Linked DNA regions of Drosophila melanogaster. The protein of the gene in region 1 interacts with the protein of each later gene in a pairwise test. Each region holds a gene or a part of one and is shown in the gene's direction. Other genes may lie near its edges. The genes, in order: Cpr73D, koi, Nrt and Bace.

Evidence for each region.
Region 2: the proteins of Cpr73D (region 1) and koi interact in a two-hybrid assay, tested with the Drosophila melanogaster proteins (one large-scale study listed by BioGRID).
Region 3: the proteins of Cpr73D (region 1) and Nrt interact in a two-hybrid assay, tested with the Drosophila melanogaster proteins (one large-scale study listed by BioGRID).
Region 4: the proteins of Cpr73D (region 1) and Bace interact in a two-hybrid assay, tested with the Drosophila melanogaster proteins (one large-scale study listed by BioGRID).

The regions. Positions count from the first base shown.
Region 1 is NT_037436.4:16,938,194-16,944,785, reverse strand, and holds Cpr73D (cuticular protein 73D), read left to right. Parts: upstream 1-1,836; 5' UTR 1,837-2,062; coding exon 2,063-2,190; intron 2,191-3,047; coding exon 3,048-3,185; intron 3,186-3,968; coding exon 3,969-4,150; intron 4,151-4,202; coding exon 4,203-5,548; 3' UTR 5,549-5,686; downstream 5,687-6,592. Other genes in the region: Obp73a (Odorant-binding protein 73a), read right to left, coding at 1-123, 183-363; CG13022 (uncharacterized protein), read left to right, coding at 5,844-6,440.
Region 2 is NT_033778.4:6,809,501-6,817,465, forward strand, and holds the start of koi (klaroid), read left to right. Parts: upstream 1-1,518; 5' UTR 1,519-1,675; intron 1,676-2,287; exon of another isoform or gene 2,288-2,401; 5' UTR 2,402-2,428; coding exon 2,429-2,583; intron 2,584-3,031; exon of another isoform or gene 3,032-3,194; intron 3,195-3,280; coding exon 3,281-3,616; intron 3,617-3,672; coding exon 3,673-4,253; intron 4,254-4,536; coding exon of another isoform or gene 4,537-4,814; exon of another isoform or gene 4,815-5,312; intron 5,313-5,559; coding exon 5,560-7,059; intron 7,060-7,116; coding exon 7,117-7,229; intron 7,230-7,292; coding exon 7,293-7,505; 3' UTR 7,506-7,965. Other genes in the region: CG15237 (uncharacterized protein), read right to left, coding at 1-11, 70-198; ubl (ubiquitin like), read right to left, coding at 592-635, 701-839, 899-937. UniProt on the Drosophila melanogaster protein: Component of the LINC (LInker of Nucleoskeleton and Cytoskeleton) complex involved in the connection between the nuclear lamina and the cytoskeleton. Is required to nuclear migration in eye and to anchor klar in the nuclear membrane.
Region 3 is NT_037436.4:16,764,276-16,769,415, forward strand, and holds the start of Nrt (neurotactin), read left to right. Parts: upstream 1-1,796; 5' UTR 1,797-2,265; intron 2,266-5,140. UniProt on the Drosophila melanogaster protein: May mediate or modulate cell adhesion between embryonic cells during development.
Region 4 is NT_033779.5:8,494,110-8,498,313, reverse strand, and holds Bace (beta-site APP-cleaving enzyme), read left to right. Parts: upstream 1-2,006; 5' UTR 2,007-2,045; coding exon 2,046-3,164; 3' UTR 3,165-3,421; downstream 3,422-4,204.

The DNA.
Region 1 (6,592 bases):
TGGGGGAATGATCAAGGGAAGGTGCCTCGGGCACAGAAGGCCAAATGAAGTCGATGGAGTCATCGTTCGGATCGATGGGTGGCTGATTTTGTGACACCTGCTCCTTGAGTATCTCATAGGCCTCTAAATGGGGACCAAAACCGTATAGTATTTAATATGGCTTAACTAATTTGAAGGCCCACCATTAACCAACTTGTTGCGGACCTCATCCTGGCACTCCCTTATGACCGACTCGACTTTCCTGGCCGTTCTGGGTGGATTCAAGCACTTGGCCTTTTTCGTCTCGAAGCGAATTAGATATTCCACAGCGTCGATCGATGTGATAACCATGCACGAGATGCATAAAAGTTGTGTAATCCTCATGGTTGCGATTAATTGGAGTCTCCACGCCGATCCGAACGCCTGGGCCGCTGTCAAATGAATGTCCCCCGAAGAAATGGACGCGATGAAATCGAAAGCATTTTCACTTTTCCAAGCCAACTTGGCAGGATGGCCCACACAGGCCACTTATGAATTTCCAGTTTAGCTATACTTTTTTTTTCTCATTTTAGTTTTGCTCTTTGGGTATGTGGTTCAATGGCAAACAGCAATACTCCAAGTGCAACTGCGACTGCCACAACTGGTTGCACATTTCCCATGCGTGCAGTCCGTTAGAAACTTGTCCTTAAAGCTCGACCACATGCCTATGAACATGGTCATTGGCAGCGGCCATATATCATTGCTATACCATATCTCCATGGCTCTCCGATCGCGATCGCATTGGGTTTCGTTCCATTGTCTCTGCGGTTGTGCGATTACAAAGCGCTTATGCTCGGAAAGCACTCGCTCCGATTGAGCGCACAATTAACCAATTGGTGAACTCTTCCGCCTTCTGACCAATTTGCATATGGCCAAAAAACAACGGCTATAAAGATTATCAAAGGCGGTAGTCTATGTGGATGTAAATATGGGCTAGCCAGAACTATAAACTATAACCAGAATCAAAGGCAACCAAGCGGGGCGGTCTAATCAGAGGGCCTGACATATCCCCAGCACATCCCCATCTAGAACCCAGAACAATGGCCAATAACTGTACTTGGAAGTGGCCAGTAGCGTCGCCACGCTAATTATGGCTCATTATAATGGCCAAGATTCAAGAGCCAAGATCCTAGGCGGAAATTGTCATAAAGTTCTGTGGTCTCCTCCAGCCGACGGGTAATTGCCTTTAATTGCATACCTGGCCAAAAATTGCTGCTAAGACACTGACCTAGACTCGCTCTGGATCGAACTTGTAATAAGCTCCGGCTAACGGAAAACTCAAAATGGAAAATTGATTCCCCAGCGATGAAGTTCAATGTTCAGAGTTTTGCGATTTGTAAGCTAAAGAGAGCGGGGCGGGGGGATGGTGCATTGTCAACAGGAAGAGAGCTCCAGGTTGCAACTTCGGGGAACAAGAACAACGTGAGCTAATTGACAGACAGCTACACAGGCACGATTTTCCATTTTCCGCTGGCCATTTCCCGCGGGTTTTAAGCCCCTTCCCCCACCCTCCTAAAGTGGCGAACAAGGAGCCATAAAATAGGAGAAACACAGCAGCAGCTGCAACAACACTTGCGTGTCCATCATTAGAACGAATTCTCTCACCTGAGCCCCGCGCCCACTTTCCGCCTTTTCTTGTAACGCAATTTGCACACAAATGCTGCTGTTTCATCTTCGTGGCTTTGGCTCTTTTTGGTGGGTGGTCAGGTGAGACAAGCAGCACCACTAGCTCCACTAGCACCACCATATGACGCCGCACGAACCGCTCGCTGAGCCGCCTGAGAATCGTATTTAAATACGAAGGTCTAACGCTGGATCGCATCAGTCGTCGCCGTCGCGTTGTTCTAGCCGCTAGCTCCTCTCGAAGATCGCAAACCAAGTCGGAGTTTAAGACGGGTTCCAAGATCGGATTGGCAGACGATCGAATCGAATCGGATTTGTTGGGGGAATATAAGTTTATGTGGTGACTGTGCACCTGGAACAGGATGCCCGTTTGATACTTGTTTCATCTCTCGATTGGATTAAAACGAATGCGATTTGAATGATGTGGCATCTGCATCGGCACGCGAATTCCCTTTTGCTTCTCTGCGCAGTTTTAGGATACTTTTCGGATCCTGCGAGAGCCGAAATCGAGTACAATACCATCAGCGAGGATGGATCTTTTCAGTTTCGGTACATAGATGTGTGACAAACTATAGTGAACATTTTTAAAGGATATTAAGCACTGAAAAAAAAATTGGCATTATGGATTAAATGGATATGCATTTAATTGCAAATGCAACACCCTGTGACTCAAGAAATTTGATGAATAGTTTTTGTTACAATTGCAAAATTTTGAATTTAGTAAAATTTTCAATTTACCTAAAAATGCTTTAAAAGGCAGGATATTTTGACAGAAATTAGTAATTTCCTTCGTAATACGATTATCATAATACCTACATCGACTAAGATTTTTAATAGGATTTTAAAACTTCACAATAAAATTAATTCAGATAACATTGAAATTAATATTTTTCAATTTTCAACTCATTGCATTAGTCATCACAATAAAAAAACTTAACCAAATAACATAATTTACATTAAATAGAATAGAACTTTCATTGTCGTCCAATTTCCTTTTAAAAAAAGGATTAAAAGTAGTTAGTCGCTGAAAATAAGAAATAACCTTCCCCAATTGCGTACAAACTTAGCTGTTTGGTAGAATAATAAACCTTTTGAAAAGAGAACAACTCAATTACAGTTTTTTAGCAGCCATGGGTCATAAATCTAACAAATCATCTAATCGGTCAATGATGTCTGCTACCTTACCATCACCATTACACCCGAGAAAATTTGAGATTTTTAGCACCTCTTTAACGCCTCAACGTTTTGCAACCACAACAATAACACGCTTCCGACCATCTTTCCCTCTCCATTTCGCACGCATGGGGCAACGCAATTACTTCTGTTTCGATGGATCCCACCTGGCATGGATAATGGATATGCTGCTGCTGGTACTGCTACTGCTACTGCTTCCAATCGGCCAAAAGACATGCAAATGATGACATTGGCGGCTACTATCACAGCGCCTCGGGCACTCCGGACAACACGGTGCGAGGTCGCTACGGTTCGCGGAGTCCGGCGAGCGGGCAGATCGAGGAGACGGTCTACACAGCCGGACCACGTGGGTGAGTAATCGAAGACGGTAGCCAAGACTAGTGGGTAAAGTGCGCTGGTGCACTGCAAGAAAATAGTATCATTTTAGAGTGCATATGTGTGGAGAAAAATGCATTTAAAATTGATGATGTCAAAATATGCGTAAAAGAAAAACATAATTTTTAAAATATATGTATTTCAAATGTTTTTAAAAATAATTAGGCAACGATAAGTTCTGTGGGTATACATGACTCGAAGGTAACTTCCTTGAGGAAGGTCGGCGGTTTTTTCCTGAGTGTATTGGCCGCTGAGGAAGTGGCAGCACAAAGTGAGTTATCTCCCCTCGATGTCAGAGTTGAGCTCATATATCAGCGGTTGGCGGCAGGCGGCGGCCACTGAAGCGAAACCCAAACAAACGGAGGGGGATCCATGGAGTTGGAGCCGTTCTAACACATTGGACTGCTTTTTCTGGCGTTGCCTAAACGTTTTTCCATTACCGCTTCGGCGCTACTGTTGTTTTTTGCAATCTCCGGTAAATCGGGGGAAACAAAAAGCTGTTAACAAATTGACTGGCCTGAGAGATTCGAGCCAAAAAAAAAAGAGGAATGGATTGTAGATGGCAGATGCTCAACGATAGCGATGATTCTGAATGGGATCGTTCCCCGAGATGTGTAGTAATCGAAGTAATGGCGTGCCGGGCTAAGATCGAATCTATATTCAAAATTGCAGTGCAAGTCCGCTTCCGCTGAAAGGGTTTACCCAATCCCCACTCATTGTGTCGGTAGCTAATTAATCTCCCTCTATTTCCCACATAGATTTCGCGTGAACGGACCGAAAATCCATCGGAAAATGGACCTGGCTCAGTATCCGGTACTGCCGCGGGGAAGTCCGGACGATCCGCTGGCCGATCCCTTCGACGATCCATCCTACAGCTTTAGTTTTCGCACTCCGGATCAGTCGCGCAGCGAGGAGAATGATTCCGGGAATAGGATAAGAGGCGAGTTTAGCGAGTATGGTACTTAAGAGTATATTAACTGATTCTATCCCAGGTCTGTACTCCTATTTGGACGACGTGGGCGAGCGGCACAGTGTTCGTTATGCAGCTGGAGCCGGAACCGGATTCGAGATCTCCAACGCTGTGCCGGACAGCCCATCTGTTGTGGCGTACTCCAGTCCTCTGTACACGTCCCATCCCAAAGCACGCGGCAAGATGTCTGTGCAAAGGGGGCCGGCTGGAAGCTATAAGCTGATCGCCTCAGGTTCGGATCACCGACGGGCAGAAAGTCGAGCACCCGATGGCCTGGTGCGAGGAACCTACTCCTTCCTGGACGACAAGGGCGTGCAGCGGACAGTGGAGTATATAGCTGGAGCAGGAATTGGCTACCGGGTGGTGCAAAATCGGATTGGTCCTGGAACCCATAACAATCCCTCTGTGGCTGATTTTCGTTTGACAGATCCAGATTTCCGACTGGCTAATGATTTTGGCAGGGGTGCTGGTGGTGGCTTAGGTCCGAAGGGAGGTGGTGGTGGATCAGGTGGGGGAAGTGTTTCGGTAGGAGCTTCGGGGCCAAGTGGTGGTGCAGGTGGAGCGGGAAGGGGCCGTACTCCAAGCAGACCCGGAGGCAAAGATTACCTAAAGCCGGCTGATGGAGCAAGAGATAGGAATCGTGGAGATGGTGATGCTGGGGCAGCTGATGAAAATCTGGGACACCATGCTGATGACCAAGGGGATGACATTGGGCTTGGCAGCAGCTCCTCTGGTTCCACCAACTTTAATGGCAAAGAAGACAGAAGAGGGTTCCCTGCGGGTAGTCCGCAACGGGGCAGTACTAGATACGATGCCGGAGGTGACAGCTCTCAGAGAGGTGGTTCAGGTAGCTCCACGAGAAACAATGTTAGTGGGTCCCGAAACAGAAACCGATTCGGCGGCGTTGGTGGAGTAAGTGTCTCCTCTGAGCGGGGAGCAGGAAGGGGAGGTGCTGCCGGTGGTGGAAGCAGTCGTCGAGGAGGTGGAGCTGGAGCCTCCAGGGAAGGCGACTCCGGCCTGGGCTACCTGCCGCCCACAGGTGGATCGGGCACCAGTGCCATGAGCGGACCCGGGGACAATTACCACCTCAACGATGACGATGTGGGCAGTTCACTGCCTCCTCTGGTCACCGCCAACCACCGAATTCTAGAGATCGACAGGGATCGGGAGTGGGTGCAGCGACACCGCGACTCCACCGTCATCAAGAACGTGGGTAAATGGTACGTGGGCCTGCCGCCTGGTCAAAGTGTGCGTGCCCATGTCCAGAACATCGACATAATACCCTTGGGCGGAAGGATCGGACTTTCGCCGTCGGAGGCACTGCGTCAGGATGAGATCGCCGAGCTGAATGCCTCAAGGGAGCACTAAGCACCCATTGGATCTGTAGATCTGTAGTTTGTAGTGCGTAGCTCTAAGTGATCAGTGTTGAGTAACCGAAACTGGGTTGACTCCACATGGAAACTAAAACAGTATTTAAAGCGGAATACATTTTTTGCCTGTATCTGTATCTCAAACTGTATCTGTATCTCTAGCGAATAGTTATTTGATATCCGTGGATCCGGGTATAAGCAGGTTAATCTGCACATTGCGGTTTCCTTGAATCCACATATAACCCCATGACTTAGCATGCTCGGAGTTTAGTTGTTTCTGAGACTTGAACATGATGTTGGTGCTTTTCATTGCTTCGCTGATAGTTTCCTGTGCTCAAGGAGCGCAAGTGTATATGCAGTTCAATGGACAAGGATACTCCTACAACACGGATGGCGATAGATTGGATAGGAGTGTCGTTAAGCCTAGTTTTGGGGCATCTTCTCTGGATTCCTTTGGTCCGCTGAACTTTGTGCATCAATCTCTGAGGACAAGACAGAATCCACTTTCCCGGATTTCCTACAATACACAGGATAACCTAGCAGTGGCAACATCTTCGCTGAGTGCGGGCTACCAATTAGCATCGACCAACCACCTGAAGCACCGGCAAAGCCAGCAAAACTTTGATTTCAGCACCGACCAGATGTCGCATGCCCAGCACACCGATGAGGCGGGAAATGTTTTGGGCAAGTACTCCTACTACGATGAGGCTGGCTACCATGAGCTGAGCTACAAGGCGGGCGCCGGCATCGGATTCGTGGTCATGGGTGGCAATTTGGCCAAGGCCACCACCGCCGCTGAACCGCACTCGGAAATCGAAATCGGAAACGGAATCCAAACAAATGCCTTGACTAGCCTGCAAGAGTTGCATAAATATCGTGGCTACACGTAAATAAAATATATTAGCCAAAACTATTGCTCGTTCTACTTGGGTGTTTTGCGTTATTTACTGGAAGTCTTTGGAGATCTGACAGTGTCACCTGTCGTGTTTGAGACCTACGTGATCGGGGATCTGAACTGTAAACATATGTCAAAGAATGAATG
Region 2 (7,965 bases), on another chromosome or scaffold:
AGGGACTCTCGCTGTACGGTTTAAGTTTATAACAATTTATACAGAAAGCGGTGTCTGGAGAGAACTCACCCAGTTGCTCCTTTCATCCTCATAACGCCGCGTCTGCGATTCTTCGTTTACGGAGGCAGGAGCCATGTCCAACCAGTAGCGATTGGCCACGGAGACTTTGAGCGTGGGAAAGAATGGAATCATTGACATTTTCGACGGAATCTTGAATGCGCTGTTTTCAATATTTGTTGTTCTTTCTCTGGAAGCCTTTGATGCGATCTGGCAACGCCGCAACATACGCTGTAAATAATACCAATTTTACAGGGGCGTAGTCGTAGGGGCGCATTAAACGCAAATTACAATATTAATTGTAATTGTAATTCATCAATCTAACTATGTATTTTGTTATTGTCAAGGGAAGTCCGATAACCAAGGGCTTAATACAGCTTACTCAAAAATATATATCTTCACTATTACAAATTGACCTTAAGAATCAGAACATAACCAAAACGAATAATATATATTATTCAAAATCTTTTTATTTATTAAAGAAGCTATAAAAATTGGACAAACTAGACACAGGAACGGTATTCCCTTGCAGTTTTATTGGTAGTAAAGTTCCAGATTCATGCCATCGTGAATTTCATCTAAGAAAGCGAAAAAGAAATGCGGGTAAAGCAAGGCGTTACAAGGACACTAAACAAGGGCTTACAGTCAGATAGGCGAATCGGGTCCTTGAAGATTGTGTACCACTTCTTCAGGACAATCTTCTCGTGCTTTGTGCCCGTTTGTGCCGCGATTAGTTTCTTGAGGTCCCCAATCGTGTCGTCCGGGTTGCACTTGACGCGCACCTGTGGGTTAATCGTTGGTTAACGATGCTTGCAGTTGCCTTGGGTACTTAGCTGCTTACCTTCTTGCCAAGACGATCGTTACACGTTATTTCTATCATATTTTATGGCTTTGCTAGACAAATCACAACAATAAATTCTTGATTTGTTGTGGTATTATTGCTTAGGGTTGTCAAATACCCTTTACCGAATACCGAGTGGTTTGAGGGATCGCTAATTGTCCGCAATGCTATCGATATTTTATTTAATTTTAAATATGTTTAAATAACAATCATATAGAAAGTCGAAGTTAAAGATATCAGAAGTCTGAAAGTATACTTAGAAAGCTCAATTGCTTGTCATGACGCAAATCTATCACATCCTTGTAAAACGATAATATTTGTTAACAAATTTATATTTAAATTTCAGTCTTCTTCTTAGTTATCAAGCCAGAAGTCGAATGTTTCGGCGTTAATAGAAAAATAATGTATGTTTGCATATTTGCACACCTCATTCAAATTATTTTTCTTTGTTGAACAAAAGATAAAAGTGTAAAAATTAAATTTTTTATTCTTGACCCATTATTTCTCTTGGTTAATGAAAACAAATTCCGTTTCTCAACGTTCCCTTTAATAATCCATGTGAACAATCGATAGGCGGCGAAACATCGATGATTGCTAGAATAATCGATGTGTCTTCCCCGTTCATTCGAATTTTTTCGCCGCTCGGAATAGACGTGATTTTGCCGTCGTGACGGTGGAGGCTATTTTTAAAACGGTCGCGGCGCTTGCAAACAAAATTCATATCCAGCTATTCAACGGAGGAATTCATTAGTACGGCAGTACAAGAAATATTACTAAGTATGTCACATATTTGCGGGCAAACTGCCGAAAGCACTGTGCGGAGTTTTTGTTTGTGTGCGTGCGTGCCTCATTTTTACATTCACGTACATACATATGTACATATATGTACGCTATGACGCAGCTGTGGAAAACTTGTTTGGGTTTCCATTTCACCGAATCACGGAATCAACGAATATTTGCGCCTGTGCTGCGAACTCATTTTGGGCAGTAAGCCATTGTATTGATTATCGCGCGTTGTTTGTGGATGGCGTGGTCCGCCGGAGCACCCTGTAGCGTCTACATCCCTACCCCGCTCCCTGGAGTCCGATATCTGTGCGCGAAAGGCCGGGCGGGCGTCGTTTTCGGCTATGTGGCCCAACACCAATGGATCCCCACGGTCACTGGCAGCAATTCGCGATCCGAAATGCTCCGCCCTATTTTTAGACGCGGTCTTTGCGGCCTGCCTACTTACCTACCTCCCCAATGCATTCTAATTAAAAACCGGGCACTGCGCTCATTTCCACACGCATTGCATTGCATAATGCGGCATTAATGTGGCGGGGAAAGCTCGCTTCGGAAAGCACTCGAGCATTGAAGTGAAGAGACCGAATGTTTTCCAGCTGCCCAATTGTAAACAACCCACGCCTAGCACGCACACACACGCACACGCACACACACACAGACTGGTTTTAATGTTTACTCCAAATAAATCGTTGCCCATGTTAATTATTTGTGTCTTCGCAGGGCCCGAGCACTGGAGGGAATCTAATCATGAGCGAAAATACATACCAGATAGAAACGCGTCGGCGGTCGCGTTCCAAGACCCCCTTCCTGAGATCGAGCTGCGACCATGAGAACTGTGAGCACGCCGGAGAGGAGGGGCATGTGCACCACCTCAAAAGGAAATCGGCGGCCCCCAATGTGCAGTAAGTATCTGGGATACTCCCGAAATAGGCCTACGGACGAAGCCCTTTATCGCGAACCCATAACATTATTTTTAGCCCTTATAAGTAGTAAAATTGTAAGCATACAATATGTTTACGGAGTTCGAGTCAATTTCATTTTGAGAATTAGGAGAATTCAGTTTAAACTCTATAATTATTTCCTATTTGGTCCTGAGTCACCTTTTTCTATACTGACCATTGGTTTCAGTAAGCAAGTTGGACTGTAGTAAGACACATCCATAGCGACTGTATGTTTGTATGCCGTGTGCTGCCGCCATGACGTCACCTTTTTGTTATTCACGCTCGCCGCGAATTTGAATTTCGAAGCGGGTAGAAAACGAAGGCAAAGCCGCATACAGGGTGCAGCATCTGGTCGAGCTTCGTTAGTTTTTGGCGCCTATTTCGAGAGCGCCTGGTCGGTCTGATGATCAGTCTTCAAGACTCGATGACGACATTCGGAGTCCAACGTCGGCCGTCAGAAATCGTTTTCACGTTTTAGCCTCTAAATCGAGCATGCTGGGGTGGGCTAACAGTCGTTTGCGCTGAAGGCCAGCGGCGGTTATAAGCATATTTTTGTGTTTTTGTTTTGATACGTTGTACTCGTCGTTTCAAACGATTCCGAGCACGTTATCACGGACTTACTGAAATATTTTTCCCAAATCTTACCTCTTCTCTGCAGAACGATAATAGAGGAGCATATAGTGGAGTCGAGTATCAGTAAGAAAACCCGGGCAAAAGCGTTCGCCCAGCTGACCTCGGACTATTCGAGCGACGACATGACTCCGGATGCCAAACGCAAACAGAACTCGATCACGGCCACAGTCACGTCGATTCTCACCAAGCGATCCGGCGGCGCCACATCGACACCGCGGAACAGAAGCCAGCTGGAGACCACACAAAACACGCTGAATTCCGCCCAGGAAAAGCTAAACCAATCGAACGGTAACCTCAGCTCGGGAAATGTCAGCGATTATCTGGCCTACATCGAGTACAGGGATGCTGGTGAATACTGGAAGTGAGTGAATCATTTCTACACATTTTAAACAGTATACTAATGATGCTATTTTGCAGCAAAACTCCCAAGACGGACTATACCTACTCAGAACTGTCCCCTCACCGACGCCAGTTGGCGCCAGGAATTGTGGCCATGCCCAATATGTCCAGAAAGAGCCTAGAGAACCATAACGATCGAGTCAACTACATGGTCCAGCAGAACCCTGCGCAAGAGGAGTTCATCCGCCGCCGCTACCAGTCCAAGTATACCCAGCAGGTTAACTATGACTCCGCAGATGAACTGGACGCCACATTTGGGCAGCAAAAGCAGAGCTGGTGGCTTATCCGCCTCATCCAACTGGTTGTTAGCAGCATTACCACCGTGTGGAGTCGGGTGACCAATCTCTCGGCCACGGAGACGACTGCCTATCAAAACTACCACGCTAAGCGCCAGCAGAGTCAACAAGTTGGACTTTGGTGGAAAATAGTACAGACCATCGGAGGAGGACTTGCAAGTTTGCTGCGCTACCTGTATGTTTTCATCGGATCGGTGCTGAGTTTGGACACGTGGTTGCTGCGATCCTCGGATGCGGAAAACAAGTCGAAAAAGCGCTTCCTCATATTTCTGCTGATTTTGTTGCCCTTGCTGCTGCTGTCGGGTGAGTAGGATTTAAAGCACCGTCCGATTTTTGATGTAAAGTAAAATATGTTAGAGCGTGTGCCGTGACCTTGTACCGGTTCGAGAATTCATACTACATGCATATAGATCACCTCCAGTCGTTGTATTTATAAACTCGTCTGGTCGTTGGCAGTCGCGTGACGCCATCGATAATTTGTTAGTAAAATCCCGCGGATCAGATTTAAGTGGCCATGTGATGACATATTTTATTTTCCATTCACCGTCTGCCAAGGTTAAACGCCTAATTTGCTTTGCCTTTGCAGGTCTGTTCTATTACATACACCCCAATGAAACTTTCCCACCCAAATCCCTGTCCGAATACACATTCACCCTACCTGAGTTGCCCAAAATCGATGTGAAAGACTACCTGAACCAGGAGCAGTTCGAATCGCTACGCTCTCAGGCCGCCGAGCATGCGGTCCGCGTTCGCGATTGGGCCGACGACTACGTTTTGTACTTGAGAACCATCGGTCAGAACGTGGTCAACAAGGGTCGTCAGTTATTTCAGGGCGATGATAAAGTCTATTATGAGCGTGTGTAGGGAACATCTGCAATGGGCAGGCTACAGCTACCAGATTTAGTGATCTGGTTGGGTGCAACGCCCCTTGCACTTAGACAAATATGAGAAACTTTCTTTATGAACAATATGAGTACAAAATAAAGCATTTGATCCGTTTTTTGTCCGTCTGCTTGACCCGCAGTTTTGCGCACTTACTTTATAGTTTTTCGTCCCGTCATTTACCCACTTCATAGGCAAACCCACCTCTCATACCCCACCATACTAACCGACACAATTCCCAACAAAATGCAACATCACAGGCTGATGGGAGAAGGATAGAGCTCGCCGCTGTTCAAATTGTAAAACTTTCGTAATCGTTAACTTCATTCTTGTCCAACAATTAGGGCCGTTATCCGTCTGGGTTAGTGCCCTAACTAAATCTTACTTGTTGTTAAACAACGTTTAATTGTAATTTGTGCACTGTTTGCTTTGTAATAGTCTATACAAAAATAAATCGCAAACAATTTCATATGAAACATCAAGTACAAAGAAGAGTTGTTTGTTTTATTTGCCATTTGTTGGAAGTTCGCTAAATGGTAAGTAAGATGTAAACAAAGCAATATTAGTTGGCCAGAATCGAACTCTATCCTTCTGCATTTGTGTTGGAATAACCCCAAAAACGAGTTCCCTGTTACCTCAGTCCGGTTGATAATTGAAGTTGGTAGGGACTGTAAATGTAGAAGGATTGCCAACTAATAGTGCTATGTTTAATTTTCTCCTTCCCCAGGATGGTTGCTCTTGCAGGAGGATCAACGTAGTGCTTACGTTCAGCGTGCGGAAGCACTGTTGCCGCTGCCACTATCTATTTTCGGCTCCCTACGTAGTCGATTTTCAAATGCTGGAGCCACCTTGAAAAGTTGGATGGAAGTGCCCACCGTCAGGAGTCCCCAGCGGGAAGCCGAGGCCATTAAGGTAAACATGGCCAGCATTGAACAGAACATCCAGAAAGCCTTGACTGCCGAGGAATACGAAAATATCTTAAACCATGTAAACAGCTACGTGCAGCAGTTGGTCGAGCTGAAAATGCAGCAGCATTCCAAGGAGCTCGCACCGCAACAGATTGAACTCTTTGTTAAGCTGATGAAGGAAAACCTCAAGCAGATTATGTACAAAACGGAGCTAAGCGAAAAGGATTTGTCTGATCTGGCCATAAAACTGAAACTGGAGCTGCAAAGCTCAGGCGGTTGGCAAGATGGAGCGAAACTATCACAAGCTAACTTAGAGGAGATAACCAAGCTAATTAAAGCAGAGGTTCACCTCCACGAATCGCACTACACCATTCAATTGGACAGGATAGACTTTGCATCCCTGCTGGAGCGTATTCTTGCTGCGCCAGCATTGGCAGACTTTGTAGATGCTCGAATAAGTCTTCGGGTGGGAGAGCTCGAGCCAAAGGAGAGTTCCGGTTCCTCAGATGCAGAAGTCCAAATTGAGCGTCTGAACAGGGAAATCGCCTTCATTAAGTTGGCTCTCTCTGACAAGCAAGCGGAGAACGCCGATCTGCACCAATCAATCAGCAATCTGAAGCTCGGCCAAGAGGATTTGCTGGAACGCATACAGCAGCACGAACTTTCCCAGGATAGGCGCTTCCACGGGTTGCTGGCTGAAATAGAAAACAAACTGTCTGCGCTTAACGACTCGCAGTTTGCTCTTCTCAACAAGCAGATCAAGCTATCCCTTGTCGAAATTCTGGGCTTTAAGCAATCCACCGCTGGCGGTTCCGCTGGCCAATTGGATGACTTCGATCTGCAGACCTGGGTACGCAGCATGTTTGTGGCCAAGGACTACCTGGAGCAGCAGCTGCTAGAGCTGAACAAGCGCACCAATAACAACATTCGCGACGAGATTGAGCGTTCGAGCATCCTGCTGATGAGCGACATTAGCCAACGACTCAAACGGGAGATTCTTCTGGTTGTGGAGGCCAAGCATAACGAGAGCACCAAAGCGTTGAAGGGCCATATCCGCGAAGAGGAGGTGCGCCAGATAGTCAAGACGGTGCTAGCTATTTACGATGCCGACAAGACGGGCCTGGTGGACTTCGCCCTGGAGTCGGCGGGCGGCCAAATCCTTTCCACGCGTTGCACTGAGAGCTACCAGACAAAGTCAGCCCAGATATCGGTGTTTGGAATTCCACTCTGGTATCCCACCAACACGCCGCGGGTCGCCATTTCACCCAATGTGCAGCCAGGGGAATGCTGGGCATTCCAAGGGTTTCCCGGATTTCTAGGCAAGTCGCGGGTAAATAGTAATTGCTAAAACAGTCCTTATAGTTTTCTTCCCACAGTGCTAAAGCTCAACTCGTTGGTGTACGTCACTGGATTCACCCTAGAGCACATACCGAAGAGTCTATCCCCCACAGGAAGAATAGAATCAGCTCCTCGCAACTTCACTGTCTGGGTAAGTTTGACTAAGGGTGAAAGGAAGTGGTGCATTTCTAATACGACTTATCCATCAACTCAGGGCTTGGAGCAGGAGAAGGACCAGGAACCCGTATTGTTCGGCGATTACCAGTTTGAGGACAATGGTGCTTCCCTCCAGTACTTTGCCGTTCAAAACCTGGACATCAAACGGCCGTACGAGATCGTCGAACTGCGGATCGAGACGAACCATGGCCATCCCACCTATACATGCCTCTACCGGTTTCGCGTGCACGGCAAGCCGCCGGCCACATAAATCTGTTCAAATCTCTTCTAGTGACCTAAGTACTGCCAGGTGTACATAATGTCTGTGCCTTAAAAAGGAAACTAAACAATATATCACTGCGAGATGTGGATCAACGGAGCCCAGCCGCTTTCAACAATGCGAACTATGTAAAAAGTAAGGCTATATAGATTGTAAGTGTTTTGTATCATATCGTAGATTTGAAGTGTTTAAATCACATTAAGGTTAACTTGTACATAGCATATTATTTAAGTCAGGACTAGAGTCCCTATAAGTACTATAATATTTATTAGTATTTAGTTATTTCCCTGAAATCAATCATCGTTCCTTTAAGTCTACTCTACTTACGTATGCAAGTTTCCAACCCGTAAACGTAGCACTATACCCCAGTTTATAAACAAATTTCAAATTCCAATCTCGGCGTCAAAAAAATGATCTTGTCCTGAATCAGACTGATCTTCTAACTTTATCC
Region 3 (5,140 bases), 170 kb from region 1:
TTTCCTCGTTACCATTTGCGATCATGATAATGATCCGATGCGATCATTTTGATCCTTCCCCTTCGACGTGACGGGCATGCGTCAAACTCAAATACGTATGTAACTCGAGCCAACCTTCACTTTTATTTTCTAGTTTCCTACCATATTTATTCCTTTTTTTCGGTAGCAGATGTCGCCTAACATCATGTCTAATGAAATGCTTCAGTAGCTCCACAATGAAATAGGGAACCCTCATAGTTCGGGGCGTGAAAGTTGTTGACATGTGGGTAGGAATTCCGTGGGGTAATACCTTTGGAAGAACAGGGGAATCGACTTCTAATACATTTCTAGCACGTGTCGTCATGGCTTCTGTTCTAATAATTCAACCGACACAAGTTCAATATAAATATTAAACTATGTACATACATAGGTATACAATGAAAATATTGAAATATTGAAAAATATTTACCAAACACTTTAGTTAAATGGGTAGCCTAATTGTCTGAAGACATATCTCCTACATTAGTTGATTACTCATAAATCATAAGCGTAACATTTTTATAAAATAGAGCACATACTATATAGTAATTGAAAGTATAATACTGGGGGAGTGCCCTTTATTAAATAAACTGCAACAACGTATGTTTTTCTCATAACTGTGGATGAATCATTCTGTTGATTTGCGTATCGCTCAAAATAAATGCATTAAAATCTTCTTTATAGTTTTCATTGCGCAAAAGTTGATTGAAAGAATCATTATATTTTGTCTTTCTTACCAAATAAGTGAATTTTCTCAGGGGTAGGGATATGAAACCCTATGCGAAAAGGGGTGTTGGGTTGGAGGTAGCCAAGGGTAAGGGTTTGTGCTGTAATGACGCATCAGGACGTGGAATTTCCCTACATATGCCAGATGTTCCCATCGGCATAAACTGCGCTTCAACACTTGCCGCCAGTTGATAAGCATTTGAAAACGAGTTTCAAAAACCGAAATCAAAACCTTTACTCAAACAAAAGTGCCATATCAACAAACTTCTTTCCCTTCCCCTTGCCAGCTTCCCTCTCTTTTTAAGAAAAATTAATAACAAAGAAATATAGGGAGATCGGCATCTACTTCTATTTGAAGCATGTACAACTCAGAAATTTTTAATAACTTTAAGTTTTATATTTATAAAGAGCTGTAGACTACGTAATACCTCTACTTTGGGTTTTGGGTGTTGACTTGAACAATTTATAACAATTTTACCCTATGTTCTCCTACATGTTCTATAAAGTATCTGATCTGATCATAATATCTGAGGTGTCTTGTTTCACTAACAATAAACGCTTTACCAAAACTACAATACCTTTTTCATAAAATCACCATCGAACATTTTGCACTTACTGTACAGGAAAACAAAGCCGCTACTTTTACTGCTGCTTTCCAGCCACCCCTATGATTTATAAATTTACAATGCCGGCTGCTTCCAGTTCCAGTGCACAGTGGTCCAGTTCGAACTAAATCATAAACATGAATTATGATCATGTCTAATAAGTTTAATTAAATTACTTATAAAATATTACAACAATTCGTTGTGTAGGTGTTTTCAATGCTAATCACTGTTGCTTGACATAATTTGTATACTATTATAAACTTACAAGTTATATCTTAAATTATGTTTTTTCTTTTTTTCAAGAGAGAAACATGTTCTCGCCGAAAACACGTTCCACTTCCAGTTCCCCGAATAAAAACAAATCCAAGAAAATTAACATTAACAGTTGCTGTTAAGACTCTGTTAACCGTTTCGAAGCCGCATGAATTGCATGACATCGAAACGGCGTCAGTCAGTTTTGTTCTGTTTTGGAAGCCGCACGCGTTTTCCCTCGCTCCGGTTGTGCTCGCTTTCGCATCGCACACACACACACACTCTCGCCGCACAGACGCGACCAAAAGAAAACAAAATCAAATTCGGCGCAAACAAGGAATAACTTTTTATATTCCTATTGTGCATCGTATGTTGTATTAAGTGCAAGAAATATATTTACACAAATCTAACAAAAACACCGCAACTACTTTTGTGCATTTTGTTTTGCTCTGTGCCGAAGGAGCGGAGAAAAGAAAAAACCGCAACAAATCAAAAAATCTGTGCGTTTGTTATACACACCTAAGTGTCCTGCAGGAAGGACATCGGGTTCATTTACGCCACCCGCTGTTTTCAAGGACCAACGGATTATTCCCAATTGCCACATTTCAACAAGTTCGAAAAAAGCAACACACATTTTACACAGTGTTTGCGAGAATTGAAAAAGGTAAGATTACAAATTCGTGTGAAGGACCTCGGGGATTTGTAGAAGAGGAAGAGCAGTTGAAAACAAATCGATGAATTGTAAATGAAGTCAAATTTGTCTGCCAACTTTAATAATTTAACAAGTGAATATGGACACTTCAAACTTGAAAGATTAAAATGTGATTATAATTGAATAAAACAATTTACATGCATATTTATTTAGTTTTATACAAATGTAAAGATTTTGGCCAAAAAGTTTATTGAAAAACGCTAATGCCGTAGCAATTGAAATCTGAGTTATTTGTGAAAAGTAGAAGATAAAAGATATAAGAGCTTAATTTGAAAACTTTTAAAATATGTCGGTATCCGATCTTGACGGCTCTAAATTAATTTATAATCCTCCACAATCCATAATTACCGAGGAAACATCTTACCAAAACAATTTAAATGGCGTCTCGAAAAACATTTCATTCCGAGCTCTTAATAAGATTAATGGGGCTTCACGATTCATTGATATAATCCCTCCGTAACGAAGCACACCCACCCCATCGTCATCATCATCTTACGCGTCTTGAGGTCTAATGGCTCGTGTCAATGATCAGACGGACTCTTTCCCTCAATAATTCCCATTTTCCATCCTTTCTAATGGCTTGTGTCGCGGCTCCGTATGAAAAACATAACCATTTGACATAAATCACGGCCCTGACAAATCCTTTTGAACATTTCATAAACATAATGTGTGTTAATCCTCAGATATTTCAATCCATCAACATCCAGAGTTTGGTGGATGGAGTTGCCCCAAAAATAGCGCGACCCCTTTGGTATCATTTGTATGCACAGTCAGACGCCGGCTTGAATAAATCCCCAAATAGTCATTCCGTAAACAAATGCAAAGGAAATTGTTGAAGGGATACGGATACCGGGAAAAAGGGCAATAATTCAATGATGAATTAATAGGCGCATGGAAATGATCACGAATTCCCGGGATCTTCAGAGAAAGTTCGAGTTGGCAGCTGCTGCTCTTCGATTCGCTCCAGAAAAAGAAAAAAAGACTTCCGGGGAATCGAGCAACTAAAAAGTGAGAAAAGCATCAACAAAGCCAAACAGAGGCACAACAAATGGGGTAGGAAAACGTGAAGATGCCACGCTGACGCAACATTTGCATTCGGAAAGAGATTTATGGAGGCAACTCCCCCGCCCATTGACTTTTCGCTCCAACTTCCCTCATTGTTTTGCCAAGTTTTCAAAAGACAAGAGCCGACATGATGATGTTGATGTGTGTGCCTCAGTATCTCATTTTCCCAATTTACCCCAAAATGTGTGTAATCAAAAGTTTTCGTCTTTACAATTCAATTTTAAATTGTTGTTCCTATGTAAGTGTTGCCTGCTTTCCACTCGAAAAGTAAACAACAATTAAGGAAAAACACAACAAGGCAAATGCAACAAGAATACAAAGCACGATTTTCAACACTTTTTCTCGCTCTCAATGATAAACAAAACTCGGCTATTTACATCTGGAGTTCATGGTCAAACAGTTTAAACAAAAATGGAGTTTTCATTTAGGAAATTGTAAATCCATCAGCAATAAGAACTTGAGAGTCAAGTGCTGCGATACGATCCCAAAACTCGAATCCCCTCAAGAGCTGCTGACAATTGACTAATGAGGGTTACAAGAAACCCCAGCGCAAATCATAAATATTTGTTGTTGACAATTCCAATGGCCCTGCAAGGAGCCTGGCTTCAAGGAATTCTCAGGGTTCTTATCGCGGAGGAAATCTTCGCTTATCTGCCTGAAAAAGGCAACGTGGTGCTAGAAAATATTGTGCAATAAAATGGAATGATATAGTGGAAGGACAGCCATGAGTTGTGAGGAAGGCAGTGTATGCAGACTTAACAGATACCCAGTACTTCCATTTAAGAAACAACTAATTGCATACATAATATTGGTTAAATGCACCAGGAACTTCGTGGTTCAATGCACTCAGTTAATGTTATAACATTCTCCAACAAATATTCTTGAATATAAGATATAAGATGTGTCTACCTCATCAAATCCAAGAGTACGCGGTATGCACAAACATTGAACCAACCAACGCAACTCAGGGCTATCCTATCCCATATCTTCAAGAGTTGTTTGCCCCTCGAGAGTAATTACAAATTCATAAAAATGGCCTGTTTGAAGTGGAAATCTCGTTCCGATTTTGTTTGCTCTTCCCACTCCAAACTCCATTTATTCCATTTTTGTTGTGCCAATCCCCTTGTCCTGGAACTAGGCGCCTTCCGCTGATCCTTTGAGGTTTGTGGGACTCTGTGCCCCTTTACCAGTTTCCGCTCTCTACCTGCCCCAGGAGATTGTTATCCATCAAAATAAAATGAGGGGAGACGACTGTGAATTCGCATCGCACGTGTATAAACCTTTGAGTCTTGCGGTTTCTGGTTTCTGCCCCTTTTGTACTGGAAATAAATTCAGTCTTATATTTCTTATGAATTATTATAGTATGTCCTCAAGTAGTTCTTAACAAACAAGTTTGTATATTTTTAAAGGTTTTCAACATTTGTTGCAACTTGCGATCTATCTTACCTATGTTTCTTCTTTATTTTTTCTAAGTGTTTCTCATGCTCCAGTGAACTTCACTCCCCCTTCATCTTTCCGACCCCTTCCGCATTGTTCTTTGAACACGTGTCAGCTTTGATCATTAATCACCCTTCTTTTGATTGCCTGGCGAATATGTGGCTCATCATTTTCCATTCTCCCACTTGGCCAACTTCAATAAATTGCCATGAAATTAAGCAACTTGAACAAAAATCCACAACACGGCATGATAAATCGTTAGATCAGAATATTTAAAGTTAATTTTAAAATGACCAGAGGCCATGTTATAAAGCAGGAGAAGGAG
Region 4 (4,204 bases), on another chromosome or scaffold:
TGAAAAAACATTATTTAGTTCCAACTGTAGGAAGAAAATAAGCAATCAGAATTAGTATTCCATTTATGAGCCCTAGCAAATGTTCTTTTCCCCGACAATTCATTTAACTGAAAACATTAACTGAACTATTTTCACTTGTTTAATTTATCTGTCATCGCAGTCGGGTTATATTTAATGTGCTTATAGGCCAAAGTTCGCTGGCTAGTGTTGATTTGAAACATCAATATCTTGCTCGATTAATCGCCTGGCACTTGACTGACTCCGAGGCTCATAAACCACGAGTGGGTGCATCGGAGATCGAGCAAGCTGTGAAAATGCAATCGGCGGAAAGAATTCGATGTGGAGTAGAAGAAGGATGAGTAGTGGGTGCTCCTGCCTGAACGAATCGCCCACCTATTGATTACTCGGAGGCAAATGCTCACTGACCGAACCGGATACTATCCATAATAGCAATTTATTTGTTTTCTGGCTCTGCCTCTGTGCTGTATGAAATATATTTACCAATTGTGAATGTTTGCTGATTATTTTTGGTTAAATATTATTTGCATCTCGGTCTAAGCCTTTAAGCCATGTCCACGCACAGCAAATAAAAATAAATCGAAATTCATACAAGCGCACACAATTCGGTGAGTTGTTCGGTTAGTTGGTCAGCCACCCCGGGCGTATACTTTATTTATGTATTTGCCGACTACAATCAACTCCAGTTCAATCCACTCGCGTTGGGCCATAAATCAAAAAATGATTGATAAACGGTTGAAGGGGACTGGGCATGGGCGCTATTTGAGCAGCCTAATAATTGCACATGAAATGTCAACGCAGGAATGCGAGAAACAAAAAGCAGGCGGCCCACGTCGCTCGGTAATCATACGCCCCGTGTGCCCAGTTACCAGTATGGTTACCGAAATTGCCCGACGGTGCGTAAAATCCGTTGATTACTTTATTTTGGGTCGAAAGTGCGCAACGCACTCGCCCGTGGACACCTCCATTTTGGCCCCTTGTCTGTTCGTGTGTTACTAGCCCTCGGCGATAAGAGCGGATGCTCTGGACCACAATTAACCTGTGGCTGACCACCACACAGAATCACCACCCAGAAATCCTCACATTACTGCTCAACATCCCACCATCCCACATGTGCAAACAGTCCCTGCGCTGGCAATAAAACGCAATCGAAACCATGAATCTCCTTTGTCCTTCTTGGCCAATTGAAGTGGCATTTTATTTGATTTTAAATCTGATTTCAATAGGGTCTTAAGCTTAATGGTAGTAGGAGCCATGGCAAGAAGATGACTGCCGCCGGACCTGCATTTGCTTTTTTATCTGCTAAAACGAAATTTATATTTTTATATGACCGAGCAAATAGCTGGTGAAAGTGCTCGAGTGTAACCACTTGATTGGAAGGGAATTTAAGCCGAGGTGAATGCGTTTCCTCTTGGCTGAAAACGATCAAATTCCCACGTTTCCTTAAATTAACCAATTGAAAACAAATTCATTCTGGTAATGTGAGTTAATGCTCGAGCAATTATATCATCATCCTTAGTTACTAAATGATTTGGCTTTTTGCTAAGCAGGGGTTTTGCCCAATATGCCTGGTGAATTTCCCAAATGCATGGTTTTACCCTAAAACCCTAACACACTTATCGCTATCTCTAATTTATTGGCTTATCTGTGAGCTTAATCATGCAATGATATTAAAACAAATTACCATGAAGAGTCACTTATTATTATCGCGTAATGTAAGCACTATCAAAGTCACTCAAAATGTCCAATCATAACAAAGTCCAGCTGCGTATTGGAATTTAGGATTCACTTCTTGAGAACGCTATCGAAAAGATCGAAATATCACCTCACACCTGAAATGATAATATGCCAGATTATAAATATCGAATGCCGGACGAGCATTAAGAACTCATACTGCTTAAGACTGGAGTGGTCAACAAATCTTATCACCGGACAATTTGGGCTGTGATTGATGGCAAGTGCTATAAATTAGACCCGCTACACCGATCGTCAGTTAGTCGAACTCGAGTAGACTAGAAACCAAGAGAATGTTCAAGACCATCGCTGTAGTAGTGCTCCTGGCAGCCCTGGCCAGTGCCGAGCTCCATCGCGTGCCGATCCTCAAGGAGCAGAACTTTGTGAAGACGCGTCAGAATGTTTTGGCCGAGAAATCCTATCTGCGCACCAAGTACCAGCTGCCCTCGCTTCGCAGCGTGGATGAGGAACAGCTGTCCAACTCGATGAATATGGCTTACTACGGAGCCATCTCCATCGGAACTCCCGCTCAGAGCTTCAAGGTTCTGTTCGACTCAGGCTCCTCGAACCTGTGGGTGCCATCGAACACCTGCAAGAGCGATGCCTGCCTGACCCACAACCAGTACGACTCCAGCGCCAGCTCCACCTACGTGGCCAACGGCGAATCCTTCTCCATCCAGTATGGCACTGGCAGCCTAACTGGCTACCTGTCCACCGATACCGTCGACGTCAATGGCCTGAGCATCCAGAGCCAGACCTTTGCTGAATCCACCAACGAGCCGGGCACCAACTTCAACGATGCCAACTTCGATGGCATTCTCGGTATGGCCTATGAGTCCCTGGCCGTGGATGGTGTGGCTCCTCCGTTCTACAACATGGTGTCCCAGGGTCTGGTCGACAACTCCGTCTTCTCGTTCTATCTGGCCCGCGATGGCACCTCCACTATGGGTGGTGAACTCATCTTCGGTGGCTCCGATGCCTCTCTGTACTCTGGCGCTCTGACCTACGTTCCCATCTCGGAGCAGGGCTACTGGCAGTTCACCATGGCTGGATCCTCCATTGACGGTTACTCGCTGTGTGATGATTGCCAGGCTATTGCCGATACCGGCACCTCCCTGATCGTGGCTCCCTACAATGCTTACATTACCCTCTCCGAGATCCTGAACGTGGGTGAGGATGGCTATCTGGACTGCTCAAGCGTCAGCTCCCTGCCCGATGTCACCTTCAACATCGGTGGCACCAACTTCGTCCTGAAGCCCTCGGCCTACATCATCCAGTCGGACGGCAACTGTATGTCCGCCTTCGAGTACATGGGCACCGACTTCTGGATTCTGGGCGATGTCTTCATTGGCCAGTACTACACCGAGTTCGATTTGGGCAACAACCGCATTGGCTTCGCCCCAGTCGCCTAATTAACGATCCGCAATTACGAATCAATAAAGAAACGAGCTCTTAGAATTTTCTACCAAATGTCTGGGTCACCTCAAGTGGGTCACCTTTCGAAGGCTGAAGGTGTAACAATCTAATCTGTTTACAACTTTGTAAGTGGATAGGTTGTGAGTAAGCGACTCCAATTGCGTTTTACAGTCATGGCTATTTATGCTTATCTGCATTTCATATAATAAATGAATTACACATTGGACTTTCTGTAAATTGTTCGAGAATGTATAAAGTATATATAATTTAAGCTATCGTTTACGTAGAAATACCACTCCATTTATTTATTTATTGACACTTAAGGAGACTGAAGTGGTTATCCAAATGTGTTATCCGGTAGTCCGCAAATTCCCAGCTGGCTGTGGGATAAATGTTGACTCCGGACCCAAAGGAGATGGTGTTATGAAGGCAATGACAGAAGCCATCAGCTCCGGGAGCCAATTCATTTGTCCAGCCTGTTGGCCGGGCAATGATGTGTGTCACCGGGTGTCAAGTGGGGACTCTGGTAGCCCGGGGGAATGCCACAGATGTCAGGTATACTGCCGGGGTGTCAAAGGATAGCCAGTGATGTCAGAGAATTGTGCGGGTCTATAGTTTTGCAACTGCAAACACAACAGTGACAACACCCATTTAGGAGTAGCGGCCGAAGGATGCAGGGGCATCCGTGTGCGATGACAGGAAGTGGAAGTGCAGTTGAGCAATGCAAAAAGTGGAGGTCTTGTGAAACTCGGGACAACTCGTGGACAACAGGTTATATTGGCCCTGCTAGCTAGTTTCCAACCCAAATGAGTGAAGCAGGAAGGGGGGGAGAAAACAGGAAGGGTAGCCCAGATTGGGACTGCTTCGTTGAGCAGTTAATGAATCACTTAATGGAAAAACCTGGACGCCACTCGACTTCCGTTGTGGGTGGAAACTCAACTCACCTCGCCATCGACTTCTAATTGATGTTGACCTTAGAACACTAAACCGCTTGGCTTTTCAAATAGTTTATGAAAGCACTGGAAAAGCGCACGAA